Linked DNA regions of Lepisosteus oculatus. The protein of the gene in region 2 interacts with the protein of the main gene of each other region in a pairwise test. Links are inferred from orthologs where the notes say so. Each region holds a gene or a part of one and is shown on either strand. Other genes may lie near its edges. The genes, in order: mkln1, ranbp9 and oprm1.

Region 1 (6,748 bases), on a different chromosome or scaffold from region 2:
AATATGGTTATTTCCCCTGTATATTGTATTATTACTTTTCAAAATTTTTCTAACGGACACTAAGAGGACTACAATATGCCCCCATTGCTATCTGTATTTCTGTTGTTGTTGGAGGAAAAAATGACCAGTCTGTATGGCTTGCCTGAATTTTTCAAACAAGCTTTTGTTTGGAACAGAGGAAAAAGATGCACATGTTTTCATACAAAGATTCACAAGACTCACACAATCAGCTTCAGGTCTTGGATCAGAAACAAATGTGTGAAAAGTTCCTGGAATTCCCTTGCTTTCCTAACAGAAACCCCCATGTAGGGAAATTCAGGCCTTGCGGACAAAAGGCTTTCTGCCTTTCTTCTGCAGATAGTATGAAACTTTCCTACAACTGATGGGTGGTATCTCACTATTTATGTTTTAGTTTCATTATTGCACCTCTGAATAAATACTGTGTACTGCTAAGCTATGGAGAAAACATGGCAAATTTGGGCAAATACCGAAATCCAGAACAGTAAGACTTTGTACTATTTTTCTACTGCTCGTTTTTGGTGCCTGTTCTGTTCTTATATTCGGGGATTTCCAAGTAAAGGAAATAGTAAGGTTAACAAGCCAACCAAAATAACAAACCGCATTAATTTCAATTCTCATAAACATGTTTACATCTATAATTGTCTTGTCTTAAAAAAAAGAAAACATACTTAGTCATACTGTTATAAAAACAGGACAGAATATCTTATCTAAGTCAATTTCTCTGTCTTAGTTACATATGATAGAAAATAGTACTAAAGAGAAACTCTGTCAAGTGTGAAGTACAAATGCAATACCCTAATATGTACTGTGCCATTGCTTGCACATTATTATTTGGTTGTATGTTTTCAAAACACTGACTAGAACTTACTGTGTTCTCTAATTAGTCACATCACAGCTTTTCATGTTCTGGAGAATGTTGGCATTTTCAGTCAGTGTGATCTTACACTGGAAAGAAAATGATTGCATGATAAACTACAACCCTAGATCATGAACTGCGAATGATGTAACCCTATGTCATTGCAGATGACAGCATTGCAGGGTATTTACAAGCATCAAAAATATGTGTGCTGTGGAAAACATTCCTTAATGCCTTTTTAGCAAATCAATGAAACAAATCATTTCTATTAACTGTAACAGGGCAATACTATAAGTTTAACCACTATATAAATGGGGCTAATGTCTATTTAAAATATTGCCATGTTACATGAATCTTAACCTTTTGTCTATATTTTAGGCCTTAGGGATAATAATGAAGAAAGGTAGCAAAATATGATTGCTTACTTACTGTAAAAGCTTCATACCTTATTGATTTTTTATCTCCCTTTTAATACAACCATAAAATTGTAGTTTTTCTTAATAACAATAGGAAGCTGTAATAAGCCTTAAATGTAGTGAAGTAATCTATATATGTAAAAACAGTCCCATCAACACTAGGAGCCATTTTTAAGCTCTCACTATAGAAAACGTCTCTGCCTTAAAGTGGGATTGTGATAAGGAAAAAAATACTTTAGGAAAAAATAATTATTTGCTTCATATTGATAGAAAATAAAAGTAAAAAAAACATATATACCTCATAATGATTTATGAGGTATAAATCATTGGACTTTTTTGTAAACATGAACTATTCCTTCATTTACTTTTAAACCTTGATACTAAAGAAAAATCTGAGCTACAGTCGCCTCTGAAGCGGCCTTCTCCTCAGGAAAGTGTCCCAGCCCTAGTGAGCCTATGGGGGAAAAACTGTCACCTGCTACCCGAGCGACTGTTGGGGCTTCATTTGGGCCTAACAGATTAAAATACACGTTGCTATTCATACCGTTGTACTATGTTTTAAATTCTTAGCACTCCACAGATGTGCTGAAAATTGTCCAGGAAGCTTAAAAAGAAAAACAATCGACTTTGATCTTACGTGCGATTCATGCTGTACTTAAATATGGGTTTGTTCTTATTCTCGATTGACAGAAGATCCTGGTACTACCCTAGTAAATAATCTTAAAAAACGGCACCGCTACCCTTAAAACGTATCTTTCCTACTTTAAAGGTTTAATGTTATCTGCTTTAATCGGGGGAGATGGGAAACGACTTTAGGCTGGCATGACAAACAAATCATGAATTTAAAAATATATATTCTTATCTCCCGCGTCCAGGATTACTGGCTACAGATTAGCCTGAAACCACAGGCTCATTTTTTTCCTTTACTTGTCAGTTAAGTGCGATCGTACTGTCGTTTCACTGACGACCCAGCATCAAGCCAGTGAAACACCACTTACTGAAATATAACTTAAAGGTGAGAGAGCATTGGTATCTTGTATATTGTAGGTCTATATAGCAAAAATGTAATCGATTTATGAAATGTACCCGTTAATTAAGAAGTTTTTCTCAATAGTGTTTGTTTAGATCGCTACTTAAATAATAAAACTGCATTTTAATTTAGAAATACCAACACGTCGGCTGCCAACTGTGAAACGAACGGTAGTGTTTTTTTCTTTCTAGTGTAGCTTGTGTGACATTTATAGAGCTATATTTATACATACTGTATTGTCGTCCAGGTCGGTACCTTTAATTCCTGACTTTCAGGTGTTTTGATCATGGTAAGTACTAATTCGGTTTACACTTGTGAACTACAAACGTGCCAAATCGCAATTGGATTCTATTCTCTAAGGATTCAACATATAAATATGTTCAAAATACTACTAATCCCCAGCACATTTTGACCAAATAAAGTTGAAAGATTAGTGAGTACAATTTACATACTGTACCACCAGCCGTGACCCTAGTTTGCCCCTAACCTTGGGTGCAGTGTCTACTGTTAGATGTTATGTCATCAAACCCAAGTCCACTGTCACTTTAAGAGCTGTCGGCCTTCCTCTCCCATCTCTGCTGTTGTTCAACAAGATGGCGGCTAATCCAGAGAACAGAGTCCTCTGCTACAGTGTTTTTAAATGGAGCTCTTACTCCTCTACGTACCTACCAGAGTGAGTAATGCTTCACACACTTACCTATTTTTTTTTCTCTTTTATGTGCAGGTATGCGCATTTACGCGAATTTTTCGTTTAGTATTTCATAGTACTGGAATCCATGGCCTAACACACACCCCTCCTGCGGAATATCCTGGCCTCTCAAATGCGTTTTTTAAAAACAAAATGCAAAACGTAAACAAACATTCTTAGATAGGTGAATGCTCGTCAAATATATTTTAAGTACGTTTTCAAACGGTTTGCTTTACTGTTTATGCAAAGGGAGATTCAGTGCATTTTGTTTTAAAAGAAAGGCGAAAATAGAATGATCTAGTTTGCCGGGGAAATAATGCACAGAGGCCTTGTTTTAAACAACAGAGTTTCGAATTGGATTATTAAACTTGGAATTTGTGCTTTTCTTACGAAGATGTAATTGAATTGTTGAACCTGCTAGGAGATGACAGGCAGTTTGGAGGCGTTCAGATAGTGTTTTTCGTCAACTTGCCCGCTTGGTAATTTGATACGACCAAGTATCAACATTGTTATTTATGTTCAACACCAGGTCAACATACAAAAATTTAAAAGATAAAATATACTCATTCTTGTACGGTGCCTTGTTTTTTTATATGTGCAAACACACAATACAGTGACTAATATGCCTTAAAAGGCTCAAAATCCATAGAAAAGTTCAATTGAAATCCAAACAAGACTTGGCTATATTAATTTTGTGATAGAGTATTTTTCTTTGTGATATTTGTCTGCATTTACAGCATTAAGTGACTGTGATATGAAGTCCTCAAAACCGTGTTGTGTTTTTTTAAAAAAGGCTCACATTTTACTGTTATGTGGATCTCTGGAGTAAATTTGTAGCCTGCCTTAGGTGGTTATCAATGCACGGTACCACAGCTTTATTTTTTCTCATATTTTTAAAGTAACTCAGTAGTAAACGTCCAAAAATTTAAATTGGTAATATAAGATAATTACAGTACTTTAAAAAGGGCACAGTAGCTTGGAGAGCTGGGTAAAGATTTAGGATACACAAACTATTACGTTTAAAGTGCTTGTCTAGATGTAAGTTGTATATTGGGGCTTTGAATAGATTGTGAACTTGGAATGTCTTGTAAATGCATCTTAAAGCACTAGGCTTGTGCATCTCACACTGTGTATTTTTAAAGAAGGAAACTGCAGAGTAAAACTAGCTGTTCTTAAGGTATAAAATTGCTGCTAGTGACATGGAAACAAATATAACTTGCCTGTTGTAGTATATTGTCTGATTATTTCTTTTAATTTTGAGGGGAAATGGTAGCTATCTATTACAGTGTGAAAACCTTAGAAAATGGCTTCTTAATCTATTTTACAAATACATTTGCCTGATTTTAGTGAGTACTGCAATAAAGCCGTCCATTTTTTCTTTGCCAAGAACTGAGAGAATTTGTGTGCTGAACTAGTGTCAGCTGACTTGTATGGTCAGGTAAATATATTGTTTTATTAATCACTAGTTGGTTTCATAGATGTTTTTTAGTGCCTATCAACTTGTACCTGAAATGTGAACAGTGATTGCAGTTTGTCTGCATTTAATCAAATTAAAATTGTATATAAAGCATAAGCTTATATATATATATGTTAGTTCTATCCATGTCTATCCTAACTGAAGTGATTTTGAAAAGTGCATCTTTATTAGTTTCAGCTTTAAAGGTGTTGTAGATCCCCTTTAGGCAGCACAGGAGAGGTTTAGTCGAATTTGTGGGGAGTTGTTTTCCTTAACTTAGGCACAGTGTTTACTGTTGACGTCAGTGGACTGTAAGTCATTAACCTTTATTCATGTCTTTGTTAGCTATGTGTCTGAGAGTCAGTTTTGAAGTTCAATACCATGTTCTTTGAACTTGTCAAGAGTTTGATGCTTGTTTAAAACGTAGGCATCTAGGGCCGCTTGTAAATAAAGTAGTTGTATATTCTCATCAATAGGTCAAAAATCAATTTCACCTGAGGAGGGAAAGCACACAATTTTTTGCCAAAATTCCTGTAGTGCTTCAGGAAAATACCACTCTTATTTGTGTGAGAAATTATGTTAAACCTGCCAAAACATTCTAGATTTACTTGGTAAAAGAGCTTTGTGTGTGGTTTGTTTATGTATTTTTTCCTTTCCAAATGCCTTGTGTCACCAGGTAGATCTAAACTACCAGTAATCCCATTATTAATAAATTATCCGCATGAGACTTTATTTGTATATGTCTTGGTCTTACAGGGTATGATTTAATGGCTAATGATTTGACCATGTGCTTCAGTATTAGACATTCTAGTGCAAACGTGTATAATTTATACAAAAAAGACATTTTGACAATCCTATAGTATGTTTAAAAGAGGGTGTACTTATTGTATCCTACACTCCCACAAATCAAAGAAAGCTTTGTTGCTGTTTAAATGTTTTTTTATGACATTTTTCATATTTTCTTGCAAATAATGACAGTTAATTGGTATTCCAGGTACTGATGATGCTAAAGATGTTGTTAGTCAGAAGCCTATGATTTTGAAGGATGAATATACATTTGTCTACAACTGAATTTTCCACCAAATACATTTGCCTGGTTTTGTAGTGAATGCTGCAATAAAGTTAAATACAGATGCTAAAATCTCACTTTTTTTTTTAGGAATATTTTGGTGGATAAACCTAACGACCAGTCTTCCAGGTGGTCCTCTGAGAGCAACTACCCCCCACAGGTACTGTAAAACGATAATAGAATGGTCTTTCAGCCCATACTGTTTGATATGTAACTTTTTAATCTGTTTAATTTTTCATCAGAGTGTACCTGTCTCTCTTTCTCCTTTCTTTGTTTTCTTGTAAAGTGCTTTGCTATGATGTCATTGAGGGTGTTAGATTACTAGGAAATAGATTACTGATGTCTTTATGCTCTGCTGTATCAGTGTTGCACTGTGTAAGGCACTCAGTTATTTGAATGCTTTTGCATTTTTTAGACCTAGTTCAAGCTATTGAGAGAGGTTTTTGTTGCAAACATTTGATTGGTTATTACTTAAATAAGAAGTCAATAAATTCAGTAAATGTCTTTAAATCCCGAGAAGCTGCAATTACTGAGCTCTTTCGTGCTTTAGTATCTTAGTGTCATAGTGCTGGCATCATCCCATGCCATTTCTCTTGTAGTTGAAGAGATAATTAAAGCCTGCTCTTTTCTCTTCACCACATTTCTTCCTCATTTCCCTGTCTGGTAAACCTCTGTTTAGTAATATTGGAAGCTTTAAAAAGGTTAAATTATGAGATTTCTAGTTTGGCTATTAAACTTCAGCAACTTGTGGTGTTTTGAAGACATGTCCTGTGGTTAAGGGCATAGGAAATCGAAAGTGGAAAATAGAGCCACTTACTGTTTAAATTAACACTCACTTTGTTCTCTTTTTTTTACCATCTTTGCCAGTGTTAGTACGATTTTATTGAATATTGTTGTTTCTTATATGGCAAAAGTGCGTAATTTATTAAAATTTTAATCCTTTGGCCAATCAAGGCTGTGATGAGTAGGAATGAAGACCTTTTTGTACCATACACGGATGTCACAAATACCTAACAGAAGTTGGTATGAATGCTTATATCTAATGCATATACCTTGTGCATGGGTTTTTTTTAATGGTTGCATGCACTGTTATTTGCTTGTGTATATAAAGCTTCGATCAATGTTCAAAATTAAAATGAGCAAATTTGACATGTTTGAGATAATGGCACTACGCATAAAACTGAGCTTTGATAAACTCGGCAGCATCTGGTT
Region 2 (6,748 bases):
TGGAGCTGAGCAGGACACCCATAGCTTGAGGTGCCATAGCAAACTCTAAGGCTTGCCAGTACAGAGTGTGTTGTCAGGGAGAGCTGCAACAGTCCTCTGGGCACTCAGTGCAAAATATGGCAGGTGGCTCTGACAGCACATGTTTTGGAGCATAGCCTGCATTTCATAACTCCTCCCATGCAGTTAAGAATACGAGGGTCAGAGTTCCAAGCCAAGCTGATCCACAACCATTCCAACTTGGGGCGAGAGCAAAATGGAAAAATAAGCAGCCATTCCAAATCTTAAAATAATTAAAAATAATACAACCGACAGACCAAGTAGCGGGCCTGAAGGGGAAAAGAATGAAATGACCAGTCATTAGGCTATTTCTAAAACAGACAAGAGGATGCAGACAGATGTGCGAGCTTGGAGACCCTGGACAGGAATCTGAAGTGTTAAAGTCCAACACAGCTTTAGCAGCTGGTGAACTTGGGAAGCATGTGAAATGCTGAGGAGTCTTAAACTATGTGAATACTGACTGGCAAACAAGACTTCAAAATTCAAAATCCAATTACACTACACCAATTTTTGTGGATTTCAATTTGGAAATTCAACACTTTTCAGTTTTCCGATTGTCACACTTCGAAAACATTTTTACACCAATGTATCAGAGCAATGAGAGCAATGAGAGCATGGATATATACATTGACATTCTGTAAATGATATATTTAAGTTAGCCTGACATTAACCAATTTCCTGGTATAAATTAGAAAAATACATCTGCATATTTTGCATACCCTAAAGGTAAAATACAGCATACGTTTTTTTTCTTCTGAAAAGCAATACAAAATCAAACAGACTTCCTACTCAGTACTAAAATGTGTAGCGAGCTCATGTTAAATTGTGCAATTAAGGCAATTAGTTCAATTCGTTTTTTAATTCAAATTAAAGTAGAATGTAAAGAAATGAAATGTGTCCGTGTTTTCACGTCATTTTCAAAGAAATTAAGGAAACTGGCCCCTAAGAAACTACACCCTGTTAATGAAAATGTCCAAATGAAGTCCTGTAAAGCAGTTAAAAAACAGAAGTAAAATAATTGAAAGACCTTTTTTCAAAAAATCATTAAATGTCTAATGCTTGAATCATGCTGGTGTCATGCCATATCAAATTCAAAAATTAAATGATAAAATTGTGTTAGAGGAATAACACCTGTCATTGGTGGATCTGTCTTTACCAATCTGTTAAAGCCAGCTCCCCAATCTTCCTAAATAGACTTGCCACAAAATGTTTTAATACAGTTTTCTACATTTTAAAATGACAATCATTTTTTCATGTATAGTATGCAACCCTCTACTATACTGTACATACGAAACACCTTATTAAATGAGTGTCCAAATCCCAGAGGAACACAGAATCTTCTGTACTTCCTATCACTTAAATGGCCCAGGTATTTTGCTAACTAGTCATTTTTAAAAATATTTTCAAGTCTCAAAACACTTCATAGCTACTGTATATTAAATTAAAGGCTGGCCCTTGCCATGTATTATTTTAAAATATGCATAAAATAAGTATTAAAAAAACAACTGAATAATGTTCAATGTGAGAAAATAAACAGATTACCGAATTAAAGGATTCAAATGGATTACAGAAGGAGCAAGCCCCCAAGTTCGATACCCTAGCCATAAAATCTACATTCTCACAAATCCTTGGGGGATAGTATCACCCCTTCCTCCCCAAGTCTGTAAAAAATATAGAATATCTGTGTTTTTTAGAGAAAAAAATAACTACATCAAAGACAAACGAAAATTAAGCAACACCTGTTAACAATCAGAAGACTTATAAGAAGAGGGGTTATTTATAGCATCTGTGTGCTCTCAGTGAAATTGATAGGCTGCTTCTTGTGTTCACAGTAACAATAAGAGCCACTCTGGTCAGCTTTATTCATCTCAGAGGACTATGCATGAGAAAATTCACACACTCTGGTCTCTCTTCCTGTTGTTTCAAGGCCTAGTGCAGCTCTTAACACTCATGTAACACCCAACATCCTTAACAATACAGTTCATTGTACAACCCTTAGCACTGCTCTGCTGTGTGTACTCTCTCCAAACCGTCCTGAGAACCACTTAGTACATCGTCTGTGGTTTTCTGGTTAAAAGCAAGACAATAAATTCTCATGAGAACACAATGTCTAGTTTGACACTTTTGAACAGATCAACCACACATGTATTATGATAATCCTTCTATTCGGGAAATGTGTGTATATTACGAACGAACAGTAGTTACACATGTGTACAGGCCTGTCCAACTGTCTCATAAACTGCGGCAAATGCAGGACAACTGAAGATGCTTAAAAATAATCGGTTTGACAATAAAGTGTTCTAGGGCAGACACCATATGTATATTTTTTGAACAGAACAAATATCAGACTCCTTCTGAACATCTGAACTTAGATACAGTCTCTGCGCAGTCCTCTCCCAGCTGTTTCGCTGGCTTTGTTCATGTTTATGTAACTAATCCTGAAAAACTGGGTTGAGCAATCTTGCTCTGCGTCTTACGGCAAGTACAGTAGTCGGTAGCTAAAGAACCATCCCGTATTTGTTTTTCCTCTACGGCCCAGAGTTCATTGTAATATATGAGCAACAGGAAAACCCGATCTATAGGTTTTTTTTTTAGATCACCACTCGACAACTGATCGAAAAAAAGTAAAAATATATGATAACACCAAATAATGTCGTATCACATTTTGTTTATATATATATTACACATAGCACAGTAACAACGAGCCAAAGCTGCCGTGACATTTAAAATAACACGGGTTATTTTACAACGATCGCAGTCACTATTTCGTTGCTGTTCAGGCCTGCACCAAAGATGTCTCGGCTTGTTAGCTATAGACTACAGAGGCCGCGTCTTTGTACCCCTTCCTGATGCGGGGATTGCTTGTTTTTTATTAGCATTTTTCTTTGTCGGTGGGTATTAAATCTTTGCCTGGGGTACGCTTGGAAAGTACACGTTTGTTGGAAGACACGTCACTCTCGCAGCCCCCCTCCCCTCCGTACCTTTGTAATGCACCCGGAGATTGTTCTGGGAGAGACCGATGTAGCTGAACTTGTCCTTGGGGCTCCAGGATCGGGGCAGCGGGGTCTCCTGCTCGTTCACCGCCGGATACAGCCGCCTGAGCCGCTGGTTCAGCTCCCTTTCCTGCTCGTTGAGCGCTGAGTCCCCATGAACCACAACCGACATCAGAAACCCACAGCCCGATGACTGCCCGGACATGGCGATCGGGATTGTTTTTGTCTATTAAAAAAATACTAAATAACTACAATAACAACTACAACAATAAATTAATTTTTACTAAATGCCGCAAGAAGGAGGGAAAAGGGCTACTAGTTTAAAACAAAGCAAATAATCTGACGGACACAATTAAAACCAGACATGGACAGATAGCTCTTTTGTTTGTTGTTAGTGCATGATCCCCAGATCTGATTGGAGCCCACAAGCTCCGGTCAAACTAAAAAAACACACTTCTCCCTCTGCCAGGCGCGACTAATCAATGCTCCACTGCGCGATCCCCCCTTCCCCCCTATTTTTGAAGAAAATAGTCGAGAAGCAGAACAGACATAAGTAGCAGATTTAAATAAAATATATTATTATTCCTCAAATTAAATTACAGTGCATTGATAAATTCAGAAGTGACATTGAAACGAATGCTTACTAACAGTACAATATTAATCTTTGTCGTCATCAACATCATCATCACATAATTCATCATAATTAGGTTGTAATAACGAGGAGGTTATTTTATATCACTATTGTATAATGCGTGTGATTTGAAAACTAAAATGTGGTTACACTAAATCTTCTACTTAGCACCGTCGTTGCAATTTCAGTGCAAAAGGTTCCAGTCCAAAACCAGCAGGGAGAGATACATTACAGCAACAGTTTTAAAGATACAGTTTACATTCTTCTAGCAATTTAATGAAAATTTAGAGAGTGAACTGGTGAGCATTTTAAACCAACATCATTTGACACCAACTGCAATCTCCACTAGGGAGAAACAGAAATAATTGAAGGTTGTTTTCACTGACCACCATCTGGGTTTAAGAGCAACACTAGTTTCAGTTCAATATACAGTATTAGATATATCACAAAACTGTATGTATATATGCAGTTTTATTGTTTTTCATAAACAGACCTTCCATTACTCCAAGCAGCTTAAGGTATAGCATGATTTATGTACACATACATATATTTTTATATTTTTAAATAGATTCGACAAAATGTACAGTATGTGTACAGTGGCTTGCAAATTTATTCAGACTCTTAACAACTTTTCAAAGGGTGCTGGATCACAAATAATACACATCTTCTTCAATCAACATTTTTATTGCACACTCACATGCTCAAAAACAATTTACTTCAAATTTGTTTAGAAATTTCAGCAGATATCTCAAAGCGAGACAAAAACTGAACTATGCTGCTTGCATAAGTATTCAGACCCCACACATTAATATTTGGTGGAGCCACCATAGGCCACCTTAAGTCATTTGGGGTAGATGTCTAACAGCTTTGCACACTGATTAGACCTGATGTTCTCCCATTCCTCTTGGCAGATTGGTTGTAGCTCATTCAGGTTTATTGGATAGTGCTTGTGGACCACAACTTTCAAATCATACCATAGATTTTCCATGGAGTTTAGGTCAGGACTTTGAGCCACTCGAGGACATAAGATTTTTATTCTTGATCCACTCCAATGTTGCTCCAATGTCCTTTACAGCTTTTCAAATGTTGCTGGATTACAAATGATACACACACGCCTTCTTTCCTATCAGAAGTTATGTGTTAGGGGCACTGTATATATATGATATACATCAAGTGGAGAACTGCATCAGTGTGTGTTGGCTGCAAAGGAACAAGTAAAGGTCAATTCCACACTGAAAAATAGAAATACAACTTTTTGGCTGTTGATCCTTTTTCTTTTGACTCGCAAATGAAGATGGCTCAACAGGAGAAACACTGTATTTTGTTTTCCTATTTTATTTGTTCTTATTAAAATACATCTGCATCTTTCCGAGCTGAAAAAGAAATGTTCAAATAATTCTATCAACTAAGTAAGGGCTTATAACAGAAGCCAGAAGGTGCTTCAGCCTTGAGGAAATTGAGTGTGGCAGCCCTGCTTTAGAGAATTAATTATATATTATATAGAATTATATGAATTATATTATTATATAAACATTTATGTTATATCAGGTGTTCAAATTCCTTTTGTCCTTCTTGACAGCTTCTAGATTTACAACGGTAACCATTAATTTAAACACATAACATTCCTTGCATCATATTGCAGAGGTTTTCTGTAATGAAGTGTTTAAAGGTAAAATGAACTAATTTCTCAATTTTTACATTATTCCCTTAATCCATTTCTCATTTGTGACAAATCTTATTACGTGCTGCTTTGGGTAACTTCTCTGAAACTCTGTGGTAAGTTAGCAAGTTCAAATTTTAGCTACAGTTTTCTTCTGTAGACATTCTGCACAAACATGGTATCTTGCCAGTAATGAATAGCAAACGTTAGCATCTATGTTATTGTACTATGCGTAAGTACAATAAGTAAAAACATAGGGTAAGTGAAATGGAAACAATACTAGGTTGAAAATACAAACTTGTCATGGTAAACTTGTACAATTATCAGCTGTTGTTTGTGCACAGAAAACATTTCTCACATGAAGACTTTTGCAGAGCCCTATGGTGACTAAAGTGGAGGAACTACCATGAGAAAGTAAATTAAATATTGCAATACAGTGAGTCCTTTACAAATAAATAATACAAAAAATACTCCACCACCACCAATGTGTAGCCCCCACCTGGATGATGTGACAGCAGCCACAATACTCACAGAACACCCACCACACACTCCCCAGCTATCATTAGGGAGGAGAACAAAGTAATGAAACCAATTCATAGATGGGGATTGTTAGGAGGCCATGATTGGTAAAACACATTTTGGCTGGGACACCAGGGTTAACAACCCTGCTCTTTTTGAGAAACACTCTGGGATTTGTAATGACCAAGGAGGGTCAAGACCTCAGTTTTACTGTACATCTCATCAGAATGACAGTGCCTTATTTACAGTATAGTGTCCTCATCACTATACTAGGACACTCACAGACCACAGGTTGAGCACCTCCTACTGGCCCCACTAACACCTCTTTCAGCAACCATAACTTTCCCAGGAGGTCTCCCCCTTCCAGGTACTTGCCAGGTTCACACATGCTTAGCTTTAGTGGTTTGTTAGTTGTGAGTTGTAGGGAGATATAGCTGCTGACATTTTAAATTGAAATTTAACTTTGTGATAATTTTGAAGAAGAAATTGAAACATTGACACTAGTCACAATGAGTATGTAAGAGGAAATTGAACTTGGAATGCGCAGTCTTCAGAATAGTGAATTGAAGATTATGTTAACAAACCTTTTGCACAACTTTACTGCTTATAGCCATATGAGCTCCTCATTCACACTTTATCATCTTATTTTTCACAGTTTAAAATGTAATTAAACTTCTCAGTATCCTGTTGTAAACGCAGAGCACAGAAAACTGCTTTACTGAGTTCATAAGGATTATAGTGTGGATTCATAAAGAGACAAGTGGCTAAAACCCAAGCATCACAAATTTCAAGTGTGGCCAAGTCTGGATCAATACAGTGGATGGGATAATGGGTTCACCGGAAGAGAGCAGAATCTGAAAAAAACCACAGGGAATTGTTTGAATATGC
Region 3 (6,748 bases), on a different chromosome or scaffold from region 2:
ATGCTAAAGTAGTTAAAACAGAACCTCCAAGTGTTAAGAAATTATCTGTTAATTAATTGTAAGTGTAACGAATTAATTGTAATATTAATTAATTATTTGAGGGTGACCTCCCTAAAACCTCCCAGATTGTGCCTCTCCATGAAGAAAATTGTTGAGCAAGGAGATGACCATAATAATTACTAATTACTGTACTTACTATGGAGAATAAGGTGATCTCTATTGCTTGGAGGAGTACTGTAAATTACTGAAAAACTGGTGTTTAATACAAGACTAATAAATCATCCTGACCATGGCCCCTAAATGTAAATTACAGGTCCTACTACTAAAAGAAAAATGCTTGGTAACAGTTACAATATTAATAATTCCTTACATCACCTTTAAATCATGCTTTTTATTCTGAAGCACTCTAAGTGGTTTACATACTGCCTGGTGGGGACTCACTTCCCCCACCTGGCCGACACACTGTGGCCCCCCTGCACAGCAGGCCTGGCGCCGGAGTGAGAAATCACTTCACCAGCAGAGCTGAGGTGGAATTTAAGGAAGGCCAGATTGTACACGCCCTGACAGGACTGTAGCCAGGACGCTGGGGTTAACGCAACTGCATGGATCTTTCCCTGGACAAGAACCCTGGGACCCCTGGATTAAAGTCTCTTCTGAAGGACAGTACCCCGACAGCGGTGTGTCCCCTGTCTCCATGCTGGGACATTGGGTTGGAAATGCTGGCCCAGAAGGAAGAGCGCCACCTACTGGGCCACTACCTCCACCAGGACTGGTCTCCCACCCAAGTCCCCACCAGGCCCAGTATTGCCAAGTTCCCAAGATCAGATGAAGTCAGGCTGCAAGGTAGCAAAATAAAATCCTTGTCTCACCACATTATTTCCTTAATTGACAGAGGTTACAGAGTAAATATAATCAGGGATTTCACAGTACTTCAGTCAACATGTAAAATCCGTAGCTAAAACATTTGGGATTTTGTGAAACCTCTAACTTCATGTTCTTCTTTTAATGATTATGGCTTATAGATCATTTGAAAATAGTGCACTGGGAAAAACCTATTTTTTAAAAGACCAAGAAATACTTGCCATCTGCCATATCACCCTGCAACTCACAACTGGCAGCCCACTGAAGCTCAGCAGGTGTGAGCCTGGTCAGTACCAGGAGACCTCCTGGGGAAAAACTAAGGTTGCTGCTGGAAGAAGTGTTAGTGGGGCCAGCAGGGGGCGCTCACTCTGTGGACTGTGTGGGTCCGAATGCCCCAGCATAGTGATGGGGACAATATACTGTCCTTCTGATGAGTCAATAAAGTGAGGTCCTGACTGTCAGTGGTCATTACAAAATCCCAGGGTGTTTCTCATAAAGAGTAGTGGTGTAACCCCAGTATCCTTTGCCAAATTTCCCATTGGGACTTACTTATAATGGCCTCCTAATAATCCCATCTATGAACTGGCTTCATTACTCTGTTCTCCTCCCCACTAAGAACTGGTGTGTGGAGAGTGTACTGGTGCATCATCCAGGTTGGGCTGCACACTGGTGGTGGAGGAGAGTCCCCATTACCTGTAAAGCACTTTGAGTGGAGTGTCCAGAAAAGTGCTATATAAGTGTAAGGAATCATTATTATTGTTATTTAGTCTTGGTGATGACTGTCGAAAAGGATGAAAAAACAAAGTAAACACTATCAGGCACAGAATAATTGAACAATGATTACTCTGAAGCTTAACATAGTCCTGGGTGAAGCTGAAGTTCCATCCTTTACAAAAAGCAAAATGCTGGTTTGTAGATCTGTGCATTTCTATAAGGCTGAAGAAATCTTTGCTATACCTGTTCTGGTAACAATATTTTCTGGGGGAAAAGCACTCAGCTGTACTAAATGAAAACGACCTGGAGGGCTTTTGTATTTCCTATGTCACTACTGTATATCACTGTGTCACCATGTCACCATGTCACTAATGTCCCAGTGACCGGCTGTATTCAATGCAAGCTCTATTGTCCCCTGGGGAAAATCTGTTTTGTGGCCGAGTCCAACTCAACAAAAACAAACATCGCCAACAAAATCCAGGACAACATTTCAGGGGATAAAAAGAAACATTTATTAGTGTATTCCTTTCTTCCTGAAAACAGGTGTATTTCTTTTTTTAAAAAGCAGCAGAAGGTTATAGTAGTGAATAAATGCAAGGATCAACTTGTAATATAGTGTGTTTGTGAAGTTGCATCATGCAGCTAACCCAGTAAAACAAGCCTGGGAAGGCTGGTGTTGGACAGAAATAAAAGCCTCAGACACTGAATTTGAGGCTTTTGTTGACTGAATCTGGCTTAAGTGGGGGAAAAAGTGAGAACATGCTGGGCAAAGAACAGTGAGACAAATGTCATTTGCCTAGTGGCAGTAGCAATGACTGTGTCACTGCAGACAGGTGCCCTGTTCCTGACGGGCTTACATCTCTCCTCTCCCCAAGTCCCCCAGTCTTGTTTGTCTACAGCTTGTCCTCATTATAGAATAGTGGTTTTGCGTTCAAATTCAGGAAAGGACGCCCCAGTTGTACCCTCGGTAAAGGAACCGCATCTCACCTGCTGTATCGTCTGTGTAAATGAGAATTGGCTCTCGGTATTTAACTTCACCCGTTAAATAAAGGATAGCATCACATCATTCGCGATTCTTTGTCTAAAGCAATTGGAAACTTGAAAAGATTACGATTGCTGGCGACGAAATCTACATTGCGACTTTCCCGGAGCAGTCAGTGCACTTGGCTGATTGTGTTTTAATGACAAGACCTACTTTAATAAACTGTCTCCAACAAGAACGGCTGTTAAATAACTCTGCATGCAGCCGGAGTCTGGAGAGGAATGCGGGTGGTGGGGGTAGCGCGTACGACCTGGCGAGACGAGATCTTATTATTGCTTCCAGAAATAATAGCCAAGGCTGTTTATACGCGGGGTACTGTACAGTATACAGCTGTCCCGAGTGGTTGATGTCTTAAACACACGACGCTCTTCTATGCATACTATTGTTTGTGCAGGAGAAAGTTGATTTCTTATTCAGAGAGAAGTCATCCCAAGAATCAAATCAAGATAATGTCAGAACACGCATTTACAAAGCATCTTTCATATCTGCCTGGCTGCCCTTCACAATCAGCATAAGCTGTAGACAGGTGCATAGATACCGGCCACTGTTATTACGAGCTCGGTGTCTCCAGTAATTGCCCACAGGAACTTCAGGCACTTAAGCAGGACCAGATAAACGCTTTCGTTTCGGTGTCTACTTCCACTCCTCCACTTGGACTGGAATGCTTTAATCATGAGCAAAGGAGAACGGGAGACTTAACTCTTGTAAATATTGCGCACGCCGCCTTTTCTTTGACAGCTACTGTACACATCTGTCTATCCGGTCCGGCGCTGCACTAATGGTTCGTGAACAGAAAGCCCGAAAAGTTGTGCTTCAATGTCCCTTTGACTAAGGCTAAGATAAACGCATGCACTGCAATATCAATCAAACTCAACTCAGTTATAAACTATACGAGTACAGATTTTTTCTTTGCTTTAATGACCACTAACCAGAACGAATATGAGTTTGGTTTATTCTAATGTGCGTTATCTTCCAGGATTAAAAAGCCGTAATTTTGTAAGGAATGGAAACCCTCGGAGTTAAGGGCGGTTCACGGTTAGTTGTCATAGCAATCCAGTGTTACCTTGACCGCAGCTGCTAACATGATCGCAGGTTCAGAGACCTTCCGAGCGCCTTACCTGATGATGACATACATGACCAGCACGTTGCCCACCAGTCCTACGACGCACACTATGGAATAGAGCGCTGTGATGATTATCGCGATGACCATGGGAGTCGAGCCCTTGTTCAGAGCGTCCGCCCTGTCACACTTTGACAGGTTGCCTTCCAGCAGTAACAGGTCGCTGAGGTTCCTGCAGAAATACGTGCCGTTCTGTAGCAGCGGGGAGGCAAGGTGATTCCCTGCTGCCGTGCCGTTGCCCGCACTCTCCATGATGGCACCGATCGATGAGGAAACCAATCGATCAATCAAGCGATCAATAAACGAATCAAGCAGGCAATTCGGGCTCGGAGCAGCTCAGCCGAAGAGTCTCTCTGTCTGTACCTCTGCGGGAAACGGCACTGCTTGGACTGTCGCTGTGCCCCCCTGCACGCAGGACCCGTTGCCTCAACACGTGTGGCAGGTACTGTAGCTAGTCAGCTCTCTGGATCTGCCGCCTGATTTGCAAATACTGTCGATCCTGTAGACACGCGTCTGGAGAGCCCGTAGTGTAACGTACAGCTGAAGCCGATCACTTTCACGTCGCGTTTTCTCGTTTTATCAAGCCACGTTACGTCACTTTATAAACCACATGACCACCCGACAGCCTTAAAAAAAAGGAATCTTGGTTTGAATTGATTATCAGCTGGAGAGTTTGTATTACGTCGATTTAAAAAACAGCCCCCAAGCAGATCATGCTGCGCTATCTGCTTTGCACCACGTACAGTAACAGCATCCCCACCACGGCCAAAAAATAATCCTTCTTTAAATCGGACGCCTGTTTGTGTGTAGGTTTTTGAAGCCTTTAATAATAATAATAATAATAATAATAATAATAATAATAATAATAATAATAATAATAATAATCACATTTATTAATACGTGTTACAAAAATCAAAAACAAAAAATACCTGGGGTTAATCAGGTTCTGAAATCAATTCCGTGTGTCTTTGGTTCTAGCGCAGTTTTGTGTTTATACAGTAAGAGTTACATTGGTGTTGTACATACTGTAGAGTTGTATTGCGCCTCAGTATTGAACTCAGATAGGAATGCTAGGTTTTGTCTCATGAGAGAAACTATGTTCATTGCACTTATCCACCCATTTGTAAAAATTCGCTTGTTCTTGTTATGGGTTTATTTTCATATGGATTTAATAGGCTGTTACTGATAATTCTTTCAAGAAATTGTTAAATCTAACGTTACTAAGACTTTAACATCCTCCTCCAAAAACACCTTTACATTACCCAATATTGTGTTAGAATTTGCAAATCACAAGGCTTGAGATGTCTCACATAATACGCTCGTCTCGGAGTGTGATTGATGACGCAATTAAAACATTCTGAATATTTAAACCCTCCGATGCCATTCCTTGGAACCGGATCCATTGTTTATATATTTTCGATGAAGGAAGTCCTGCAAAAAAAATCTATAGAAGGTATTTATAGAAGAACCCCAATAAAACGTGTGGAAATGTTTGTCTAGAGCACTCTGTGGCGAGATCTGAAACAAAGAAACTGAAACCTTTAAAAGGCAAAGGAAAAGGAATACTGAAGTTATATTGCGACTTCTTTTTATCTTTTTTTAAAGTGCAAAATCATCCATCCATTTTCGAATCCAGTCATCCAGTGCAAGGTTGCATGGGTAGCCGGAGCAAGGTGGGATACCCCCTGGGTAGGACACCACTCCATGGCAGGGCACGATAAAGACACAAACACACGCTCACACCAAGTGCCAGTTTACCTACCGACATGTCTTTGGACTGTGGAAGAAAACCAGAGCAGCTGGAGGAAACCAACAGGCACACAGGGAGAACATGCAAACTCTGCACAGATAGCACCCCAGAAACTGAGATGTCAGCAAAACCTGCAAAGTAAATACACAAAGTGCAATGTATTGATTGCGTTAAGTATTCTGCCACCTAAGGCTCATTTGGCAGCAACGATTTCTGTCAGTATTTTTGGGTAGGTCTCCATCACTTTGCATGGTTGGATGGTGCAATTGTGTTCAGTCATCCTAGCACATTCTTTAAAGGGGATCGCTGATGGACTGCAATCGTCAACAGCCATTTTCTATGGGATTCAAGTTGGGCTCGAACCTGAGACTGAAGCTGAAGTCCTTGAGTCAGAACTGATCAAGGCATTCACACCCCAGCTGAGCTGAGATAAGAGGGCTGTCCTTTTAATCACTCAAAGGACCGTGGCAAAAAAAGAGGATTCCAGAGGGGGTCCCATGTAGGAAGAAAAAGAGAGAAAACCATCTTACCTATGAAAAGAGCTTGTAAGCTGATGAGCTGCATTCTTGTTAGTGGTAGTATTGACAGTGTAGTCAGTGAACATCTCCTGTATCACCAGGGTTAAAGATCCATTTCATAAGCTCAAGAATTGAGACCATATCTGGCAAAGAGTGAGGACTACTTACTGTGAGCCTGCTGAGCGATAGACAGGCTATCAGTACTGAAGAGTCTGCTTATTCATTGGTATGAAAGAGCAGAACAAACAAGCCAAAAATCAGCCGAGCTCGGAGTGAGAATCCAAACGAGCAGCTTCAGGACAGCAGCCGGGCCTCTTCACTGCTTTGGCAGGGCGCTGAGATCTGGGTGCTATTGGCAACGCCGGGGCTCTGCTGAGGGGAGTGAAGAGACCAGAGCTGGGCTCACATGTGGGCTGGGAGGAAATCGGCAAGAGGTACTTCAACATCAGTAGAAACCTGATCTCCAGTAGCGAAGAGAAATTAAGGCTGTTGCAGTAATATATAAGGACTTCAAGCATATGAGCCCTTTAATTCCAGGATGCCTTCTAACACCCTTTCTTCGAAATAGTAGCTTGATTCAGAAGCAGCTGAATCAAGAAACAGGTCTATTTCTAAATGCTGTTTTTGTTTCGGATCATCTGATCTACCGATTTCAGGTGTAGTGCCACTATTTCCCCACACCAGTTTGCATCGGGCATTCTGCGACTTGCGATATTTTATAATAAGGTGTTTTCACAGTGTTT

What was found.
Region 1: the proteins of ranbp9 (region 2) and mkln1 interact in a two-hybrid assay, tested with the Homo sapiens proteins (2 studies listed by BioGRID). The link is inferred for Lepisosteus oculatus from reciprocal best matches to the Homo sapiens genes RANBP9 and MKLN1.
Region 3: the proteins of ranbp9 (region 2) and oprm1 interact in binary tests that used the Homo sapiens proteins (3 or more experiments, as listed by UniProt). The link is inferred for Lepisosteus oculatus from reciprocal best matches to the Homo sapiens genes RANBP9 and OPRM1.

The regions. Positions count from the first base shown.
Region 1 is NC_090702.1:43,870,998-43,877,745, forward strand, and holds the start of mkln1 (muskelin), read left to right. Parts: upstream 1-2,878; 5' UTR 2,879-2,916; coding exon 2,917-2,996; intron 2,997-5,626; coding exon 5,627-5,696; intron 5,697-6,748. UniProt on the Homo sapiens protein: Component of the CTLH E3 ubiquitin-protein ligase complex that selectively accepts ubiquitin from UBE2H and mediates ubiquitination and subsequent proteasomal degradation of the transcription factor HBP1.
Region 2 is NC_090701.1:20,158,846-20,165,593, reverse strand, and holds the start of ranbp9 (ran-binding protein 9), read right to left. Parts: upstream 3,578-6,748; 5' UTR 3,256-3,577; coding exon 3,039-3,255; intron 1-3,038. UniProt on the Homo sapiens protein: May act as scaffolding protein, and as adapter protein to couple membrane receptors to intracellular signaling pathways. Acts as a mediator of cell spreading and actin cytoskeleton rearrangement.
Region 3 is NC_090712.1:1,882,462-1,889,209, reverse strand, and holds the start of oprm1 (mu-type opioid receptor), read right to left. Parts: upstream 3,990-6,748; coding exon 3,736-3,989; intron 1-3,735. UniProt on the Homo sapiens protein: Receptor for endogenous opioids such as beta-endorphin and endomorphin. Receptor for natural and synthetic opioids including morphine, heroin, DAMGO, fentanyl, etorphine, buprenorphin and methadone.